Linked DNA regions of Notamacropus eugenii. The protein of the gene in region 1 interacts with the protein of each later gene in a biochemical or structural test. Links are inferred from orthologs where the notes say so. Each region holds a gene or a part of one and is shown on either strand. Other genes may lie near its edges.

Region 1 (10,639 bases):
TGATTACTACCTGTTTTTTTACATAATAAATTCTACTCCTGATCTCTATTTTATGTTTGTGTGTATCATTTTAATAGCATTTCCTGAAAGCAATATGTTGTTGAATTCAAATTTTTAATCTGCTATCAGTTTCCATTTTATGGGTAAATTCATCCCATTCACATTCTAAGCTATAATTACTTGTATATTTTCCTTCTTCCTGTTTTTCCTCACTATCCTTTCCACCCTCTTCCTGTGACCCTCTTCACTCCTCTACTTTATTTCTACCTGCTACCCTTCCCTCCTATTCTTTAACCTAACCCCCCATGAATCCCCTCCTTGTCTTCTCCCTCCTCCCCCGACCTATCCCTTGGCCCTCTTGTTTCTTTCTGAATTTAGAAGACTTTTAAACATACATACATACATAGATACACATGCTATATGTGTGTATACACATACATTTCCCTCTTTACCTCATTCCTGTTAATCTACACACCCTTCTATAACTGACCTTATCCTGTTCCTTCACCCTCTTATTTCTTCATAAATTTAGAAGACGCATATTCTTCTAAATGTTTATGTTGTCCTCTCTTTAACCCAGATCTGATGTGGGTAGGGCTCCAGCACTACCAGCCCCACTCCCCCATCTGATTCCTCTGTATCAGTGCTTCTCTCGCCTTTCATTTGTATAAGATAATTACTCTTTTAATGTTTCCCCATATTTGGCTTTTTGGAATCACATCATACTCAACTCTACCTCAATCTTTCTTTCAAACTACCCAATTATTAATGGCAATCTTATGCATACAGTTTATATTTCCACATATAAAAAGAAAACAATTTGTCCTTATTATGTACCTTATAATTGGTCTCTGATGTTTACCTTATATTTTTCCTGGATCTTGTATGTTAAATTTTCTAATAAGTTATGGTCTTTTTGAGACAAAATCCTGAAAGTCTGCCAATTCATTGAATAGCCATTTTCTTTTTGTTCAGGATTACACTTAGCTTTGTTGGGTGTGATATTTTTGGCTGTAACCCCAATTCTTTTCTTTTTTGATATATAGTGTTTCAAGAACTGTGATCTTTTAATTTAGCCACTAATTCTAATTGTGGCTCCACACAATTAGAATTTTGTTTTTCTTGTTACTTGTAATATTTTCTCCTTAACCTGGGGATTTTGGAATTTGGCTATGATATTCCTGTAGGTTTTCATCCTGGGATCTCTTCCAGGTGGTAAAAAGTGGATTTTTTTTTTCTATTTCTACTTTCTTGTTCTAAGACTTTAGGGCAATTTTATTTGATTATTTCTTGTATTATTGCATCAGGATTCTTTTTTTTGATCTTAGCTTTCAGGTAGTGTGATTATTTTTATTTTTTCTCTTCTTGATCTGCTCTCCAGATCAGCTGTTTTTTTTATGAGATGTTTCACATCCTCTTCTATTTTTCATTCTTTTTATTTTGCTTTATTATTTCTTGGTCTCTTATAACACTGTTGGCTTCCCCTTGCCCAATTCCAGTCTTCAAGGAGTTGATTTCTTCCTTCAGATTCTGGATCTCTTTTTCCTTGGCTGACTTTCTTTTCATAATCTTCCTGGAATTCTTGGATTGTTCTTATTCTTTTTAAAAACAATTTCTGTAATTTCTCAGATTCGATTTTTAAAGTCTTTTTTGAATCCTAAGAATTCTTTTTGGGCAGGTGACCATTTGATGTTACTCTGTGAGGTAGGAGAGGCTTTTTTGCTTTGGTATCCTCCTCTGAAGATGAAGCCTGGTCCTCTCTCTTCCCATTGTAACTGTCTATAGTTGGGTTCTTTCTCCTTTGCTTCCTCATTTTTGTTTTGTTTTATTTTTAACAGCTTGTTATTATAATCACCTCTAGTCCTGGGGTGTGGGGGATGGTGTCTCTGGTCCCTCTTACTATTGTTTTTTGAAATTTGTCCTGTGCCCAAAGTCTGCACTCCTTTCCTGCTCCAAACCACAGCCAGGCACCCCTATGCACACTATGCTGGAAATGCACTTGCTCTTTGTGGACCCTCCAGTGGCTATATAACCTCCAGTTCTCCCCTCTGGCCTAGAATCACAACCAAGAACTTGGCTTTCCTGTAAGTGCTCACAAACAGCAGCATCCTACCTCACTGCTTCTGCATTAACAGGTCGCTGCTGGTTTCTTCCCACCCAGGACCATGTCTTGGTAGCATAATTGGGCCTGGAGTCCCTTAGCAGCAGAAGTTCCTTCAATCTTTCCTTACTAGGATGTCTGACCCCTCTCCTCCCCCGCCCTGCTATCTGTGAGGTGAGAATGCCTGTGACTGAGGCTGGGGCCACCTCTCAACCCAGCTGTCACCAAGGCTTTGTGGATTGTTGTTTCAGCAGAGACATTCTAGAGGTGTTTACACTTCACTCAGGTAGAACCTCCCAACCTCAGTCCTGCAGTCTTTCTTTGGATCTTCTCTAGTTGTCCCAGGAAGACCACTGATCTGCCCCAATCTCCTGTTTATTTTTGCCACTCTTATGTTCACCCTGAGGTACTGTTTTGTTTTGTTTGTGGAGGAAATCTGGAGAGCTTGGAATTTTCAGACCTACTCTGCCATCTTCCCAAGATCCTCTCCTTGCATTTCAGCGGAAGGCAAACATCATGGGTTGCCAGTGAGATGCAGCAGTTAAGAAAACTCTTGCAATCTTAAACTGGATGAAGACAGGCATCCATGGAGGGGTAAAGAAAGAGGTGAGAGTCTCCTTATGCTCTGCCCACCCCAGGCCACTATAATCATCATCATAAGACAGTGCTCTAAGGTTTGTAAGAGGCAAGGGCTGTTATTACCCCCATTTGAAAGATGAGGAAACTGAGGCAGACAGAGGTGAAGTGATTTGTCCATAGTGGCACAGCTCATAAATGTCTACGGCTGGATTTGAATTCAGGTTTCCCTGACTCCAGGCCTGGTGCTCTGTGCACTGTGGTGTCTCCCTAGGAGACAGTTCTGGTGTGATGTTTTTGGAAGGAGCCTGACAAGCTGGAGAGCATACAAAGAGGGCACGGAGGATGTTGAAGGCTCTTGAGCGTATGCCATGAAGCAACAGTCTGAAGATACTGGAGACAGTTAACATGCCTGGGAGAAGAGTGGGGTAATGGAAGATTTGTCTCCAAGAACTTGAAGGCTCTTCAGTGGAAGCTGGCAGATGCGGGGCCCAAAGGCACAAGTCACCAGAGGCCTTTATGCTAATTGTGGGGAAAGCCTCCCACCCAATGAGAACTGCTCCAGGGAAGTGCCTGTTGTACCTGGGCTATGGCTGCCCCTTCTGTGGGGGCCTTCCCACACAGGCTACACCCCGCCCCCTCATCCAGTCTTGGCCAGACATCAGTTGCTGTGCTGGACAGCCCCCAAGGGTCTTCTGGCTCTGTGTCCTGGTGCATCTCTGAACTTTCCTCATGGGGCCAAACAGCTATCTTCTGATGCTGTTGTGTGAATGGAGGAACAGACAGCCAGCCAGTTCTGCTGCCTGGCAAAGTCAGGGAGATCCAGGAAGCCACAGAGCAGGAAAACCAATCATATCAACCATGGAGGGGGTTGGAGGGGGAGGTGCACAGGGCAACGAGGGCCAGACTTGGCATCAGGAAGACCTGGCTTGGATCCTGTCTTCAATGCTTCCCAGCATCTGGGACCTGACTCAGTTAACTTACCGTTAACCTTCCCATCTCCATAAACACTCGTTGGACTTTGCTCACAGGTTGTTGTGAGCATTTGGCTAGGTTAGAAAGCAGCTTACCAGATATAAGCCTCGGCTCAGTGGGGTCAGCAGGGTCTTGTAGGCTTCGTTCACCATCGTGGAATGCTGTTCTGAGAAGTCCCTCTCAGTCTGTCAGCAGGAGAGGAAAGAAGCTGTTGTTATGGGCCCCCAAGGAGCACTAATGCCGTCAAAAATCCAATAAACATTTATCAAGGGGCCACTATGTGTGTGGTATGATCCCTGGTCTTAAGGAGCTCACTTCCTGCAAAACAAAAGATGTACTAGAAATGACCTCTGGGGATCTGTGCTATCCCATTCCCAAGCTCAATCTTGGGGCTGCCTACTGTCATCTTATATAAGTGGCTATAGTCAGAAATAAAGTATCCATACACAATGGAGGAGGGTGTCTCTGCACACTGATTTTCACGCTGTCCATCCCCTTAATTATTGTGTAGCAGTGCTCAGAGAGAGCAGGCAAGAGCACAGGTGATCAGAGCTGAGCTGACCTCACTGTTCAAAGCCCAAGTCTGGGGGAAGCCTTTCGATGTCACCTTCAAAGTGCAAGAGAAAGTTTGCTGAGGGGTGAGATTTCAGCCAGGGGCCATTGGGGTCCTGGAGCCTATGACCGCTGTGAGGCCAGAGGTCACCGTCTCAACCCCTGCTCACCTATTGATTAGCTGGAAGCCCATTACTTCCTGTCTCTGGACGTCTCTTCCAGCTCTAACTGCTGTGAACATGTGAAACCCCCAAGGTGAGTGCTGGAAGCCCTGCACCACTACCTGTGACTTCTGGCTGAAGTTATCAGGGTGGACCAGGCGCTGGAGGTGCTGGTATCGACGCTTCAGATTCTGGACATCCACTGTGAAGGAATGGCCACTGGAGAGGAAGGTGGGAGAGGGCAGGACTGAATAGAGAGCCCAGAGAGCAACCTCTCAGGAAACCAGTTACCAGCTATGTCTGTATGCCATCATTAGCCCTTTGGGGTGCCTTGCATATAGTTGGCACTAAATAAATGCTGGTTTAATTGAAATGAAACACAAAGATTGGCTTAAGTAGGGAACCTGTGAGATCAGGTCAGAGGACCTGGGTTCCAGTCCCAGTCTCCACCCTGCCCCATCACTTTGGACAATTACTAGGTTAGGTTTGCGGGAGGGGAGAGGTTCTGACCTGGCCTCTCCAGGCCTCCTTTGGGGTCATTCCGTGTCATTCCTGCACCTGCTTCCCTTGCGTGGGGTTCTAGCATAAGCTTGCAGCTCAGCACACAGAGGGGCTACCACAAGGCCCCGCCCCCAATCCATCAAGCTCCAGGCCCCGCCCCCTGCGTCAGGCCCCGCCCCCTACCCCCCCCCCCTCCCCCCCCCCGGCCTCCTCCCCCGTTTTAGGCCCCACTGGCTCTATGTCCCGCCCCTTGGAGGCTGTGGCGCCTCCAGGCCCCGCCCCCTGCCCCCCTCCCCCTCTTTTAGGCCCCACTGGCTCTATGTCTTGCCCCTTGGAGGCTAGGGTGCCTCCAGGCCCCGCCCCCTGCCTGCCCTCCTGTTGGGTCCCACGAGCTCCATGTCCCGCCCCCTAGAGGCCTCAGTGCCTCCAGACCCCGCCCCCCCGCCAGCCCTTTTGTTCCCAGTCCCCTCCTCCACAGGGAAGCCCTCACCAGTCCATGAGGCGGAAGAAGTCTGGGTCGGGGCTGGGCGGTTGCAGCGCTTGGCAGGCGGGACAGAATTGCGGATCTCCGCCTGCGTGCGCCCCCTGGCCGCCGCAGTTCCAGCAGCAGGGGGCGCCCGTGGGCGCTGAGGCTGCGTTGCCGCGGCCGCTGCTGCAGGGCCTCCCCGGGGCCCCCCATACCCTGCATAGGGCCCGGGCTGCGCCCCGCCACATCTGACTCACGACGACACCGGCCCCTTGCCTAGGTCACCCCACAGCCGGCTCTGGGCGGTGGGGGTGGGCTGCGTTCTGGCTCAAATGCAGCCAATTGATTGGTTGCTGGAACTCGGAGGCGGAGTTTCGGGCGGAGGTGGGCGGGGCGGGAGGGCCTAGAGTCCTGAGGTCTCGTGCGGTGAGGTCTTCTCAGACTACAAGGCCCAGCAGGTCTTGCGGCATGACCTTTCCGTATCCGGCGGGCTTCTAATTGGTCGAAGAGAAGCTCTGTGTCTCTTTCGGATCGCTGATTGGTGGGGTTTGTACCTGTGCCTTTCGCGCGAGCCTATGCCTCGGGCTCGGGAGCTCAGTGCAGGTCTGGCAGAGCAGGGAGCGGGCTGAGTCAGGATCCTGCGGCTGGTGCCCTGGGACCGGCCTTCCTTCTCCCGGTGAGCCGACTCGTGGCCACGGTGCCCCCGCCGCCTCCCACATCAGAGCCAGGCCTCAATCTGACCGTCTCCCGCTGACCCGGGCTGGCCGGCCATTGGCTCCGTCCTCTCCTGCCCGCATGCGGGTGCTCAGCCTGCATCCTCCGGCTGCGCTGCCACTTCCCGGAGGGCCAAGCCGAAGGGCGGTCCTCGCCCTGGGCCGTGCCCGAGCGCCTGTGGAGCGAGGCAGGGGGCAGGGCGCGGGGGCCCGGGGGGCATGGGGGGGGAGACCGAGAAAGAGGAGGGAGGGAGGGAGAGAGAGGGAGAGGGAGAGGGAGAGGGAGGGAGAGAGAGAGAGAGGGAGAGAGAGAGGGAGAGGGAGGGAGAGAGAGAGAGAGGGAGAGAGAGAGAGAGAAAAGGGAGGGAGGGAGAGAGAGAGAGAAAAAAAGGGAAGGAGGGAGAGAGAGAAAGAAAAGGGAGGGAGGGAGAGAGAGAGGAGGGAGGGAGAGAGAGAGAAAGAGAGAGAGAAAAGGGAGGGAGGGAGAGAGAGGGAGAGAGAAGGGAGGGATGGGAGGGAGAGAGAGAGAGAGGAGGGAGGGAGAGGGAGAGAGAGGGAGAGAGAGAGCTTGAGCCCTCGGGGACATCGGGAGAGACCCGGCGGTCAGGGAGGACCCAAGTTCAGCCATCTGTCTGTCCTTGGCCAGACTGGTCTAGAGGGATGCAAACAGATGGAGCTGAAGTGTTTGAGAAGCTGCCCTGGAAGATGACTTTGGGGCTAGGCCTTGTGCCCGACCAGGTGGGGGGAGTAGGGCCTCTTAAAAATAATTTGCATTTTTCTGGTGCTTTAAGATTGAAAAAGTCTTTTTTGCTAAATGGGCTCTGCAGACCCCTTGCAGCTGAGTCTTTCTATGTTCTCGAAGGCTTGGAGAGCTTGAAAGAAGTGCTTGTATTGGCTTCATCATTAAAGGGTTCCAGGGCCCTGCGGTCAGAAAATCAGTGTAAAAGGGACTTAGCATGTAGTAAGGGCTGGGCGCTGCTGGATCCGCCCCAAGGAGCTTCTCCTGCTTGGGAGATGTCCAGGTACCATGAAATACAAAGTAGAGGCAAAGTAAGGTGTGGAGGGTAGGGGGGGGATGGGGTGTTAGGGAATGAAAGACCCAGCAGAGCTTCCCCTGGGAAGGGAGCTGGGGAGTTTATGGAGCACATGGCAGTGAGGAGAGCATTCCAGGGATGGAAGGTAGCTTGGGTCAAAGCCCAGCAGTAGGAAATGGAATCTGAAGATAAATCTGAAGGATAAATCAGCCAGTTTGGCTAGGCTGTAGAGGCTTAGTGAATGGAGAACCAGGTCTGGAGGCAGGAAGACCTGAGTTCAAATCCAGCCTCAGGTATTTGGCCCTGGGCAAATCACCTTACTTTAGTCTGGCTTAGTTTCCTCATCCGTGAAATGGGGATAATCATATCTACCACTGTCCACAGTTGTTTTGAGGATAAAATGAGTTACTCTCTATAAAGTGCTTTGCAAATCTTAAAGCATGGTAGAAATGCTAGCGATCTCTATTATGATTTGTTATTACTGTTCTTATGGTACTAGTGCTAAGTTTACATGACTAATCCCAATTCCAAGTCCTAAGAAATTTAATTTTACAGTTTTTGTTTTGCTTGAATAGTTTCTTTTTTTGTCTGTATTTGGATGCTAGACTTTGACAGTTGCACCTCTCCCACCGCAATAACTATCCAAGTCTGGGGCACCCAGACTCATATTTGCTGCTTTTCCCTTTCTTTTGAAGCAAAGATGTCCCGCGAGACAGGAGGTGACTCACAGCAGTCACATAGCGCCTCCCAGTCCCAGTCCCAGAATGCTTCCGGCTCCTCCTCCTCTGGTACCTCCCACAGTCAGTCCTCCCATTCCAGCTCAGGGACCATCAGTTCCTTAGACACTGTACCTACTCAGGACCTTCCTTCCATTCCTGAGGATCAGGAACCAGAAGAACTCAACCCTCAGCCCTGGGGTCGGCTCTGGGCTCTCGAGGATGGATTCTCTAACCTTGGTAAGACCATAAGACTAAAAAGTGTGACTGGGGCAGAGCAGAATTTTTATTTAGTAGAGAATTTTTTTTTTAAATATGTTCTCCAAAACTTTGTGCTAGGTTCCTACTACTTTGGGAGGGATTTGGGGATAAGACTGTGAGCCTATTGGACAGAATCTGTAGTGTCATTGTAAGTTTCCCTGGTGTGGGAGGACCATTAGCCTGACAGCTGTGATTCTTATTCCAGAGATAGCTGCTGTAAATGATGGTCAGCATGTCCATGTGGTAACTTAAAGGGTGGATGTGTTACTTTGTCCTTTAGGTAATAGGGAACCATTGAAAGGTTTTGATCAGGAGAGTGATATGTTGAGAACCGTGTTGAACAGAACCAGGTAAATTAGAGTGGGGAGAGACTGAAGTTAGGGAGGCCAGCTTTTAGCTGGTAGTGGTTGAGTCATCCAGCTCAAGGAGATCAAGGGATGAGGGCTTAGATGAAAAGGAAGGATACCTACACAGCCCTTGCTAGGGAGTGTCTGTCTGCCTGGGGAAGTAGGAGGGAAAGGAGAAGGACAGATGAAAGATGAGTTTGATCAACTTTGAGCATAGATGTTTGAGAAAATGGCGGTCATCATTGCCTTTTTGTTGTAAGAGCAGCTAGGTGGTGCAGCAGGTACAGTGCTGAGCCTGGAACCAGGAAGACCTCAGACCTGACTAGACGGGTGACTCTGGGCAAGTCACTTCACCTCTATTTGCCTTCGTTTCCTCAACTGTGAAATGGGGGTCACAACAGCACCTCCCTCCCAGGGCTGTGGTGAGGATCAAATGAGATCATATATGCAAAGTACCTGGCACATAGTAGGTGTTTAATAAAGCATTTCCTTCCAGTTGGGCTATGTGGTGGTTAAACGATGGTTTCTGTTTTTGACCTAGAGAGAGTCAGTGTTTTCATCAGTAACCATTGTCCCGTGGCAGATCCCAGCCCACCTAGGGTTGCAGGGCTCAGTCTCTGTGGCCTGAGCCTGAGATAGATGAGGGGATTGGCCCCTACCTAGCCAGGCCATCTGCCCTGAGGTTTACACTTAAGTTCCTCATTCCTTCCCCTTTGTCTGCCTGCCTCCCAATAACAGTAACCCACACTGGTGGCTGCTCTTGAATAGGGCTTTTCCCACTATGCCCTCTAAAACTGGCAGACATTTTACATTTGAAAAAGCCAAGGTTTAGAAAAGGGAAATGAAAAGCTTGGATAGGACCCAGGCTACCTCAGTCTGGCCTTTCCTGGTACCAATGGACTTTGGGACATTAACTTGAAGTAAGAGGCCCATTAAAAATGGAATAGGTATGGGGGAGGGGGAAAGAAGAGGGAGACAATGTGTGGGGGAGGGTAGAGTAGAGGTGGGAAGACTGGGCCTTGGGGGAAACAATTATGCTTAGGAAGTTGGAAGAGAAGGTGTAGACATCAAAGAGGACTGGAGGTTTGTGTGTAGAGGTTCTTTGTCTTGGGATCCAGGGAGAAGAGAACTTCTTAAAGGAAGGGTGGGTGATAAGATGGAAGGGTCATTGCTGCTCAGAGATCTGAGTTGTCAGAGCCAAGGAAAGGGTGAAGGGGTCCAGGAGGTTGTGCTTGTTTAAGCAAGGTGGTGCAGGAGATAGAGCACTGGGCCTGGAGGCAGAAGACCTGGGTTCCAAGTCAGCCTCACACATGTAGTAGCTGTGTGATCCTGGGCGATCATTTAATAACCTCTGTCTGCCTCAGTTTCCTCATTGGTAAAATGGGTATAGTTACAGCGCTTCCCTTCCAGGGTTGTTGTAAAGATCGAAGGAGATAATAATTGTAAAGCACTTAGCACAGTACCTGGTATACAACAGGCACTACATGAGTGTTGATATACCCATTGCTTAGGTACATGATGATAGAACTGATAAGGGGAGATGTAGGAAAGAGCTGAGGGGGCGTTGGGACTGAGCCAAGGCTTCTTTCTACACTTCCGTGTTCTTGAAGACAAGGGCCCAAGAAGCCAGAGATTGGGGGAAGCCCAGGTGAGGCCGCCCTCACAGACAGGACCCTGGGCAAGGTTGGCAAACTTTCATTCCTCCAGCTGCTGTCCATGGGGCCGTTTACCACCATCCACACACCTTGGCTTATGTCAGTGCATTGAACACAGGATTTTGCCCCTCCCCAGGAGGGGCCCATGGTCTCCTAGCTCATAAATGGTAGTGGTGGCACTTGAACTCAGCTCTTTTTGACTGCAGGTTTGCTTCTTTCTCCACCAGACCATAATACCTTGTATTATCACGAGGGAGATACCTGCCCTGGAGAGTAGTTTTCTCATGTAAAAAATGGACATTTTGGACAAGTAATAAGCTTGCATCAAGTCCTCTTGTCGTCCCCTGCATGTGGTGTTGTGGTGAGACTCCGGCACCTCGGCTTCAAGTTCTTGTCTTCCCTATGGGACCTTGGGTCAAAGCTCATTTGTAGAATGAGGGAGGGATGTGGGCTGCTTTAGTCCTCAGTCCCAGGACTGCAAGTGTGGCATCCTCTATGGGCCTGCCCTTGGCCCTTAGTGCCTCCCCTTTGTTTTGTCTCTGAAGACCCTGAGTGGGGATGTGGTGTTCAGGGGCCCAGGT
Region 2 (10,540 bases), on another chromosome or scaffold:
ACCATACAGTCTTCAATCTAGTTCCATGTTGAGTTTATTTTTGTATTTTGATTTAAAAGAAGAATCAAGTGAAAATCCTCACTCATGCAAAAATATGGTGGAAAAAGGAGAATTTTACAAGTGTTCTCATTGAGAGATGGAAATTAATTTTTATTTTAGCCAAAAATTTATGTTCATATAAATATCATTTTAAATTTGTCTACAATCTATTAATATGTCAAGTAAAATTTTCATTCATTCATCATCCAAGGATGGAAAAGATATGTCAAATAGGTTGTAAATACAATTTAATTTATTGTAAATTTCAGGAAAATATTCATTAAAATCACCTCCAAAAATTCTATATGTCCACTGATGTCTTTCTTGGTAACCTGATCCAAAGACAGTTATTTCTTCATCAGAAAACTCCTTGTTCATATCCTTTGACCGTTTGTCAACTGGCAAATGATTCATATTCATATATGTTTGACAAAGTTCTTTATAAAATTTAGATATGAGAACTTTATCTGATAAACTGGCTTTAATTTTTTTTCTAATTTTCTACTTTCCTTCTGATCTTGGCTTTGTTTTATTTACACAAAATCTTTTTAATGTAATGTAATCAAAATTATCCGTTTTATACCTACCTTTGCACTTTATCTCTTGTTTATTCATAAATTGTTCACCTATCCATGAGTCTGCTAAGTAATATGTTCCATGTTCTTCTAATTTTCTTGTAAAATCTCTCGTTATATCTAGGCCGCACATCCATTTTGACATTATCCTGATAAATAGCATAAGATATTGGTCTATGCCCAGTTTTTTTTTTTCATTTTATTTTTCAGTGAAAGGAGCAGAACCAGGAGAACTTTGTGCACAGCAACGACCACAGTGTGCGAGAGTTTTTTCTGGTAGACTTGGAATTTTGTAATAACGCAAAAACTTCTTATAAAAAAAAAAAAATCCCAAAGGTGGTTCTCAAGGCAAAATGCCTTCCACACTCAGAGAAAGAAATATGGAAGTCATTCACAAAATGTAGCAGATCATGTTTGTGTATGTGTATGTGTTTGTGTATCATGTTTTGATTTGTTATAGGATTTCTTTCATTTATTTTAGTCTGACTACATAGCATGACTATAGTGAAAATGTACTCAATAGGAAAGCATATGTAGAACCTATACAGAATTGTATGCAGTCGTGGGGAGGGAGGGGGGTAGTGGGGGGTAGGTGTGGGGGGGATAAAATCTCAATTGTATGGCAGTGATTGTTAAACATTAAAAAATAATTTTAAAAAAGACTAAAATAAAAAAAACAATTTATTTTTCATTTTTAACACAGTTTATAACAGATAAAACAATTCAAGCTTTTGGTCAGGTGATACTTCTTTTTAAAGCATTTACAATATGGACCACAAAAGAATTTTTTAGACATTAACCAACTGAGACACAAATAATATTTTATGTTGCTAACTTCACACTCTCTTGACCTAATTGTCTCCAGAGTATTAGTAAGAATTAAAGGACCCTAATTTATTGTTGTTGGTCTAAAGTCCTAAGTCTAATAGCTTAATTTTAGACTTAACCTCGGATGTTCCCCTACCAATAATCTATAATTGAATAGATCTGGTATTAAGCTTACAAACCTTTTGACTATAGGAAATTGCCATCAAGAGTAGGGGCATTGCAGGGATATAATATCTCCCCAACTTCATGTCAATTTCAGGCAGGAGTAGATTGTCCACTTGCATTCAGTCAGGCTTCAAGTCTACCAGGTGTCAGTGGAGAAACTGAGTCAGGAGAATCCTACCTCAGCCCAGGCTGAACAGCCGCTCTCCCACCCTTCCCTTGAGATCACCTATGCAGTTCATACCAGCATCTCACCAGCTTACTGGCATCATGGATTGGAGGCTCAGACCGCCTTTCTTGCTATCCATATCTGCAGTCAGACTAAGAAGAACAGTCGCTAAATAGTCCCATAGCATCTAAAAATGGCAAGTTCCAATAACCAGGTTTCAAACATGATTATAATTCCACTTTGGCTAAGGAACATCTTTTGAGGCAAGTCTTAAGTGGCTTACACGCCTTTCTATACATGTTCTAGTTCCTGATTAAATAGAAATCATAAAATCAAATTTAAAACCTTAACTCTATGCCCAGTTTCTACCATACTGCTTTCCAATTTTCCCAAAAATGTTTACCAAATAATGAATTCTTATCCCAAAATCTTAGGTCTTTGCATTGGTCAAATATAAAGTTATTGGGTTGATTTCTCCCTGTAAATTGTATGTCTGCTCTATTCCATTGATCTACCTTTCTATTTCTTAGCCAGTACCACATAATTTTGATAGTGACTGCCTTATAATATAGTTTGAGATCTTCCTTCCTTAACATTTTTTCATTATTTCCTTTGATATTCTTGACTTTTTGTTTTTCCAAACGAATTTTGTTATGATTTTTTCTAATTCAGTAAAAAAAATTTATGGTACTTTAATTGGGATGGCATTGAATATGTACATTACTTTGAGTAAAATTTTTATCTTTTTTATAATATTGGCCCTGCCTACCCATGAACAATTAATATTTCTCCAATTATTTAAAGCTGATTTTATTTATATAAAAAGTTTTTTTATAATTTGGTTTATATGATTCCTGGGTTTGTTTCAGCAAGTGTACTCACAGGTATTTTATGCTGTCTAGACTCTAGACTCTAGAGCTATTTTAAATGGGATATCTTTTACTATCTCATCTTACAGAATTTCATTTGTGACATATAGGAATGCTGATGATTTACATGGATTTACTTTAGAACTTGTTACTTTGCCAAAATTGTTCATTGTTTCAATTACTTCTTTAGTTGAGTCTTTGGGATTTGACATGATAGTTTCTAATTGCTATAAAAACAAACCCATAATGTTTCAAACATGCACATATATGTTATCACAAAGGAAAAAATATATTTGCAACACAACTGGGCAATTACTAACTGCTTAAGGTGATATTAAAGATTTTGTTTTACACCTGGGACCATCATCACAAACCACTAAATGGGAAATAGGAACTACTAGACTAGATGACTTTAAGGCAACACCATTTCCATAGTAGAAGCTAGATAAAAGTTTACTTTTATCTTTACTTTTACTTTACTATCCCTCTGATCTTAAATTAATAGGATCATAGGATTAAGAGCTAGAAAAACCTTTGTAATTATCTGATCACATCTTGAACTAGATATTCCTTAAACACCCTAAACTCATCATGTAAAACGAAGGTTTTATTTTTTATTTTTTTATTATTTTATTTGTTTTCAGTGTTCTACAATCACTTCCATATATCTTAGATTTTTCCCCTCCCTCCCTTCTCCTCCTATCAGGTTTTATTTTTTTTTAATGAATTTTTATTATTTTTTTTGTTTTGCCCAATAGCTAGATATCTCCCAAGGCTCTAAACTGAGTCCTCTTCTCTCTACACTATTTCTCTTAAAGATCTCATCAGCTCCCATAGATTCAATTGTCTCTATGCAGATGATTCTTAGATTTACTTATGCAGCCCTAAGCGCTGTCCTGACTTCTAGTCTCTCATTTCTACAGTGTGTTTGTCCTTCATTGTCGGAGACCATGCCATCAGAGAAATGATTTCTCTGCCTGTTGGACATCTAGATGTCCTGTAGATAACTTAAACTCAACATGTCTAAAAATGAACTTGTTGCCTTTTTTCTAAAACCTTCCCCTTTTCCTAACTTTCCTATTTCTATAAATTACTGTTACTACCCTATTACTTTAAAGTTTACTGCTACTACCATCTTCCCAATCACTCCAGCTCACAAACAACCTAGGTGTTATTGTTACTCCTCTCTCTCTCTCTCTCTCTCTCTCTCTCTCTCTCTCTCTCTCTCTCTCTCTCCCTCCCTCTCTCCCTCTCTCCCTCTCTCCCTCTCTCCCTCTCTCCCTCTCTCCCTCTCTCTCTCATTCTATATTCAATCTGTTGCCAACTCCTATTTTTACTGATTTTACCTTTATGGTCTCTTGTATATCCCCTTCTGTCCTCTGACACTGACACTGATGAGGTGCTTGTGCTTGGACCCCAAATTCAAGATCACATTTCTCCCTAGTTTCAAAACACTATCCCTGACAGTTTTCTTGAGTGGGCCCACCTAAGACAAACTACCTTTCCCCTCAATTACTCATGGGTGGGCCCCAGTAAGACAAACTATCTTTCCCCATTACAAGAACAAGCTGACCTCTGAAGAAATTCCCTTGTAAAAACAGGACTCTCTTGTAACCACAGAATTATCATGTATTGATTCCCACAGTTATCATATACAATCCAGAGATCAAGCTATAGACATCAACTCTCAAAGCTATCTTGCCACAGACACAATAGACCAAAAATACACCTCCTAGAAACTCCTTCCTCTAGTATCCAGTAATGAATGACTCCTGTGACCAAGGTTGTATGTTATCACTTTCTGCCAGATAATCCACTACTTTTCCTAAATAAGCTTTAGCTCACTCCTGTTAAGTTGCGGAGTTAGTTCCTTAAGGAGCTCTGCCTACCATATTGGCATTACAATAAACCTTTGTCAACTTGACTTAAAGAATGCTTGAGTCCATGAATTCATTCTAGATGACCCTTTCGGGTACTTCAGTCCTTGAGGGGTCCCTGAACCTCTAAAACCCACATTAGCACCACCCTGGTGAAAACCCTCATTACCTCATGCCTGAACTATTGCAGTGCCCTGCTGGTTGGTCTCCCTGCCTCACTTTTCATCCTCCATTCAACTTCCAAAGAAAACTTCCTGAAGAACAATTCTGATCATACCCCTCCTCCCTCCATACACACATATACATCCAATTTAATAAATTCCCGCGCTTCCCTATCACCTCCAAGATCAAATATAAAATCTTCTGTTTGGCTCTTAAACCCCTTGATAACCTGGCCTCTTCCTGTTTTTCTAGTTTTCTTTCATCATACTCCTCTCCATATATTCTGTGATCCATTGACACTGGCTTCCTTACTGTTCCTCTCATAAAACTCAGTCATTTTCACTGATTGTGTCCAGGTCTGGAACTCTCTTTGTCCTAGTCTCCACCTCCGGGCTTCCTTCAAGCTTCACCTAAAACCCCACCATTTGCATGAAGCCCTCCTTGATCTAATACTTTCCCTCTGGTATCATCTACAACTTATCCAGCGTTTCTTATTTGCATATGCTGTACATTGTCTCTACCTTTAAATTGAGCTGCTTGAGGGCTCAAGCAGAGATTGTCTTTTACCTTCCTTTGTATCTCAGGCACTTAACACAATGCCTGGCACACGTTGTTAGTCATGCCCAACTCTTAGTGAGCCTGCGGACCATAACGCAACAATGCCACACATTCCTGGCAAGGATACTGGAGTGGTTTGCCATGTTATCCTCTAGTGGACTAAGGCAAACAGAGGATAACTGCCCAGGGTCACACGACTACTAAGTTTCCAAGTGCAGATCTGAACCCAGGCCCTCCTGACTCCAACGCCCAGCCTGAGGTCCTTGATAAAGAACTGTTTGTTGACTCAACGCTGACAGTTAAGTGGCAGAGCCAGATTCTGACTTGGGTGCTGAGAGCCAAAGCCGGGGTTGACTCCACTACATTATGAGGTCCCTCTGGACTCCACATTTTATTCAAAACCTCTAGAGTGTGGAAACGCAGGCCCAGAGCTGGCTTTTGTCCTACAAGTGGCTTTCTGCCTGCCCTTGGCCAAAGGGCCCAGGCCTCCTCCAGCTCAGGCATTCCTTGGGCTTGTTTTCTGGGGGTCTCCAGGGACTCCCCCACTTTGTTAGAACTTTGTCTTTATCCAAAGCATGGCTGAGTACTTCTTCAGCTGCCAGGCTGCTGGGGGCAGGGGAGAAGGCTCCTCCCTGTGGGCTCCAAGGCCCACATGCTTCTGACAGCAGAGCCAGTGACCAAAGCAAGAGATGCCCCCACCCCTCATCTTTACAGCCATCTTATGGTCATCCAAGAGCAAAACATCCTCGGGCCAATGTGGAAATTAAACTTCTAGGCTGCCAGGGAGGCGTAGAGAGAAAAAAGAGAAATCCAAGCTAGCGGCCACGAGGAACTACAACTCCCAGAATGCAGCGTCAGTTCCGCCGGACTGGGCGGTTCCTTTGGCTAGCTTGCGTGGCATGCTGGGAGCCGCCGCTTCCACACATTGGATCTCATTCTCCTTCTCCTTGTTCGCCCTTCCCCCACCCCTACTTCCGCTTCTCGACTTTGGCCCCGCCTCCTCTAGAGAGGCTTAGTGACGGAGCGGGTCTCCGACAGTCTCCCCTCCTTGAATTTTTATTGGTTAAGCTCGGCTGCCGTTCAGGGGGTGGAACGGAGGTCCCGTTTTCTGATTGGTGGCTTGGGTTTGGCGCCAACTAGGAAAGGTGGGCGGGGCAGCAGCGGTACTCTGCGAGCGGCTCCTGCGACACCCCCGGGCAGCTGGGCAGGAGGTCCGCCGGGGGCTGCCGCGGTCCCGCTCCCCGCTCTCCGCCGCCGCCGCCGCCGCCGCGTCTGGGCCGATCGGGCCCGCGCCCCCGGCCCGAGGTCCGCCGGCCCTGCGCCCGCCCGGCTTGTTTGGGTTTAACCCTCGGCTTGGCGCGGCCCCGGAACCCCCGGCGTGGGCATCGCTCGCGGCCTGCCCTCGGGCCGTGTTTGTGTTTGACCGCGGGCCGGGCCCGCGCTCCGGGAGGCGGTGGGGGCGGCGCGGCGCGGGGCGAGGAGAGAAGAGAGGCGGCGCCGCCGCCGCTGCTCCGGATGGAGCTGGGCCCGGAGCCCCCGCACCGCCGCCGCCTCCACTTCGCCTGCGGCTCTCCGCCCGCCGTGGTCAAGGCCCTGTTCCCCGCCGGCCCCGGGGGGCTGTCCCCGGTCACCAACCTGGCGGTCACCATGGACCAGCTGCGGGGCCTGGGCAGGTGAGAGAGGCGGGGCGGCCTGGGCCCTCCCGGAGCCCCCCCGGCCCCGTCATTCCTGGGCAGCGCCCCCGGGGAGTGACCTTGGCCAAGTCACTGCCCCTCCTGGGTCTCGCTGGGCCGGCTCATCGCCCAGTCCGGGCTCCGAACCTATGCGGCACATACGTTCTGCCCCGTCGCACCTGCCCTCCTGCTCCTCATAACCACCCCTCCCTACAATGGGCTGATTTCCAGCCTCCTGTCCTTTACCCCACCTTCCTTCCCTCTTCCTTCTCCCCGCAGTGTGCACCATACTTCAGACTCCACAGTCCCCCCAACAACGTCCATTCTTCTCCAACCCCCCATCCTGCTCCCCTTTCCTTCACTCCACTGCCCCCTCCAGCCTTCCCCATCACCACCGCCTCCTCGTTCCGGCTCCTTCTCACCGCCTCCCTCATACCTCCATCTCCGCCAGCTCTCGGCTCCCCCAGCTTTCCCATGCTCTAAAGCCTCCCCACCCCTCTCTCTACAGGCCTTGAGCAGGGTCTCCAGGGGGAGCCTTCCGTTTCCGTCTTTTAGGCACATGGCTAAGTTAGCCACAGCACCTTGCCTGTGGCCCAGGCTCGGCCCCTGGCCTCCATGTTGCCAGGGGCCTGGGTGGTTCCGCAGCGCCCCAGTAGGTCTGAGAGATGCTTGGGAGGAGGCTGAACAGAAGGCTTGTCCCTCCTTAGCCACACCACCCTCTTGCTTCCTTGCCTTGGACTCCTTTCAGTTTCTGGAATACTAGTTTCCATTGTAACCTTGTTCTGAATTTCCCTCAAATAAGCATGCAACCCCACAAGAGTAAGGAGGTACTCCTTCTGGAGGTGGAGGGCCGGGGGCCTGGGTGGCATTAAGAGCTTTGAATCCCACCGGGCCTTAGGTGCTGTGCTGGAGAGGAGTTGTGGTTGCGGGAGGTGGTCCTTGTGGGACAGCAGGTAGGGCCAAAAAGCTGTTAAATAGCTTGATGTTTTCCCTCTGTCTCACGGTGACTCATAGTCCGTGGAGAAGAGGAGTTGTTCTTATCAGATTCCAAAACTGCATGTAAAGAATGGTTTGGTTTTGTGTGCAGTGAATGTGAGCATCAGCTGGAAACAAAGAAGAGCGGCAGCCTGCAGCGGACAAGCTCCTCAGAGTCTACAGATTCAGGTATTCTTTCATTCTACGCATAACAGATATTTGTTGTATGTGCCCACTGTGCTGGGGGAGGCCTTGGGAAGGAGACGAGATACAACAAGCCCCTCTTTTTCATGAAGCTTCTAATTTAATACAGGAGGCACATGTACATAAGTAATTGAAAGGTAAGACAGTATGTGATAAGTGCCATAGAAATAGTATAATATGAATTATTGCAGTGTCTGAAAACAGGTTAATTTTCAGTAGGAATAAATGGAGATTGGAGTAGAGTGACCCTCCAGACAAAGGGAATGAATGGTGTAATCAGAGGCTTGTTGAATGTTAAAGGAAGGTAGGAAAGGACAAGACAGGTCCTGGGAATAGTAAGTGGTTCATTTGGTTGAAGTGGGGGGGTATGTAGAAGAGTACCTGGAGGAAAGTTTGATTCTCTTCAGATTTCCAGTGTGCATGGTTATCTCTTACCACTTGGAAGGAGAAGAGGGAAGTGAAAAATGGTTTGAGGGTAAGTAGTATGCAGATTCCATTGTGACTGAATGCCCAGAAAATAAAAGTTGCCTGGGGGCTGGTGAGTCCAGGCTACTCCGAGGTTGGTATATAAATTATATTAAACCTCTAAGATCTTCTGTCTTTGGGGAGCAAGAATTCCTTGTTAGGTGCCATTTTCTTAAACATAAGTCAGAAACCTACCAGATCTCTTCGCAGTGGCTCTAATTTGTATTTGTTCCTGTTACCCATGGATAAATTGATCTGAATTAGAGATTGGTGCCTTTTGACCAGATGCAGTCTACTTGCAGCAGGGCTGATCAAGTACTTGCCATCTGAGAGGGAGATGACATGGATATTAACCATAAACCAGATAATCCCTACCTGAATACTCAGAAGATGGTTTAACAATTCATCTAGCCTACTTTTCCCTTAAGTCTTATTTCACTGATGGTAACTCCAGAGCAGAGGGAAGCATTATGTCTCCTTCAAAGGCAGCTAGATTGGTAAAGTAAATAGAGCTCTGGACCTGGGGTCAGGAAGACCTGAATTCAAGTCTGACCTCAGATGACCTTGAACAAGTCACTTAACCTCTGTCTGCCTCAGTATCTTATTTGTAAAATGGAGGTGATAATAATAGCACTTACCTCCCAGGGTTGTGGGATAACATGCCCTATATGAACACTAGCTTTTATGTCAGAATCCATGTAAAGTGCCGCCACACACCCCACTCCATACACACATACAACCTGAACCAATCTGGAGTCCGTCACTGTAGGCTGATTGCCTCAAAAAACAGATACTGAGTCTCAGGTAATTACAAACCATGTTCACCCTGAAGTTCCTGGGGTAGCCCACTGGCTTCTTAAAAGTTTGAAATGATTTCAAATGAGATGTTTAGAGTTAATAATAAAAGAAATTAAGCTATAAAAACAATTTACAAAACCTCTGGATCACAATGGCCGTGTAGTAAAGACTTTTTTTGTGCCCCAATAGGTTTTTGTCTGGATTCTCCTGGGCCCCTGGATAGAAAAGAAAAGTATGTATTTGCTTCTTTTAATTTTTTTTTTTAAATACCAAATGAGAATATTATTAGAATCCTGATTGACTAGGAATCTGGACTAAGATGTCCCACGTGAATGCTGTTGCACTCACTCTTGTTTTTTATCATACACTAGCTTACTTTAGTTTTAAGTGTAAGTATTCAAATCTCTCATGTTCCTGTCCTGTAGCATAATTCTTGCCTTTAAGGAAGGAATTCATAACCTGGGATCCATGAACTTTAAAAATATTTTTACCATTTTAAAAAATATATCTTGTTAAACTATTTCAATATTTCTTTGAGATCCTATTTATTTTATTTTGTGCATTTCAAAACCTTTTGAAAGGGGGTTCATAATCTTTGCCAGTTTGTAGAAGTGGTCTATAACATACAAAAGTTTTTAAACCCCAGCTTCATGGGAATGTGTTGAAGAGAATATTTTGTTCGAACCCACTTGGTTTCCCTAGAAGCTTAAAGTATTTTGGGTTGGGTGAATTTGGGAAAATGATGTTCTTTCTGCAGACATTTAGGTAAGTGGGTTTGCCTTAAAGGAAAGAATTGGTTGCCAATCAATGTTGAATTACTTAACTAACTTCATTTGCTCTCTGTTCTTATTGTAGCCTTGAAAAACCCATGAGGAGAATAAACTCCCTGCCAGTAAGTTCTTTTTCTTTCTTTCAGTATTACTGATCTGGAGCTTAAATTTTGTTGTGTTCACCAAGGATAATTTTGTAGGGAAAGAAGTGACCGTGTTACAAATTTCACTGCAAATAAATGTTTGCAGTTGGCAAAGAGCCATCTCATGTTCCCATAGAGAAAGGAAAAGAAGAACTTCTCATCCAAGAAATCTTCAACAGAAGTGGACGCCTAAGTCTTAGCCCTTTTTCACTTCTATTTACATGTGTTCTAGCTCAAACCAGAGGTGACTTTTCTTTTCCAATGAAATTATAG

What was found.
Region 2: of the proteins of CHEK2 (region 1) and CDC25A, one has a biochemical effect on the other in vitro, tested with the Homo sapiens proteins (5 studies listed by BioGRID, with this or other methods). The link is inferred for Notamacropus eugenii from reciprocal best matches to the Homo sapiens genes CHEK2 and CDC25A.

Annotation. Positions count from the first base shown.
Region 1 is NC_092875.1:17,009,297-17,019,935, forward strand, and holds the start of CHEK2 (serine/threonine-protein kinase Chk2), read left to right. Parts: upstream 1-5,924; 5' UTR 5,925-6,008; intron 6,009-7,774; 5' UTR 7,775-7,779; coding exon 7,780-8,035; intron 8,036-10,639. Other genes in the region: iron-sulfur cluster co-chaperone protein HscB, read right to left, coding at 3,748-3,837, 4,485-4,584, 5,357-5,580. UniProt on the Homo sapiens protein: Serine/threonine-protein kinase which is required for checkpoint-mediated cell cycle arrest, activation of DNA repair and apoptosis in response to the presence of DNA double-strand breaks.
Region 2 is NC_092872.1:13,382,274-13,392,813, reverse strand, and holds the start of CDC25A (M-phase inducer phosphatase 1), read left to right. Parts: upstream 1-6,679; 5' UTR 6,680-6,754; coding exon 6,755-6,912; intron 6,913-7,999; coding exon 8,000-8,076; intron 8,077-9,543; coding exon 9,544-9,586; intron 9,587-10,209; coding exon 10,210-10,246; intron 10,247-10,540. UniProt on the Homo sapiens protein: Tyrosine protein phosphatase which functions as a dosage-dependent inducer of mitotic progression. Directly dephosphorylates CDK1 and stimulates its kinase activity. Also dephosphorylates CDK2 in complex with cyclin-E, in vitro.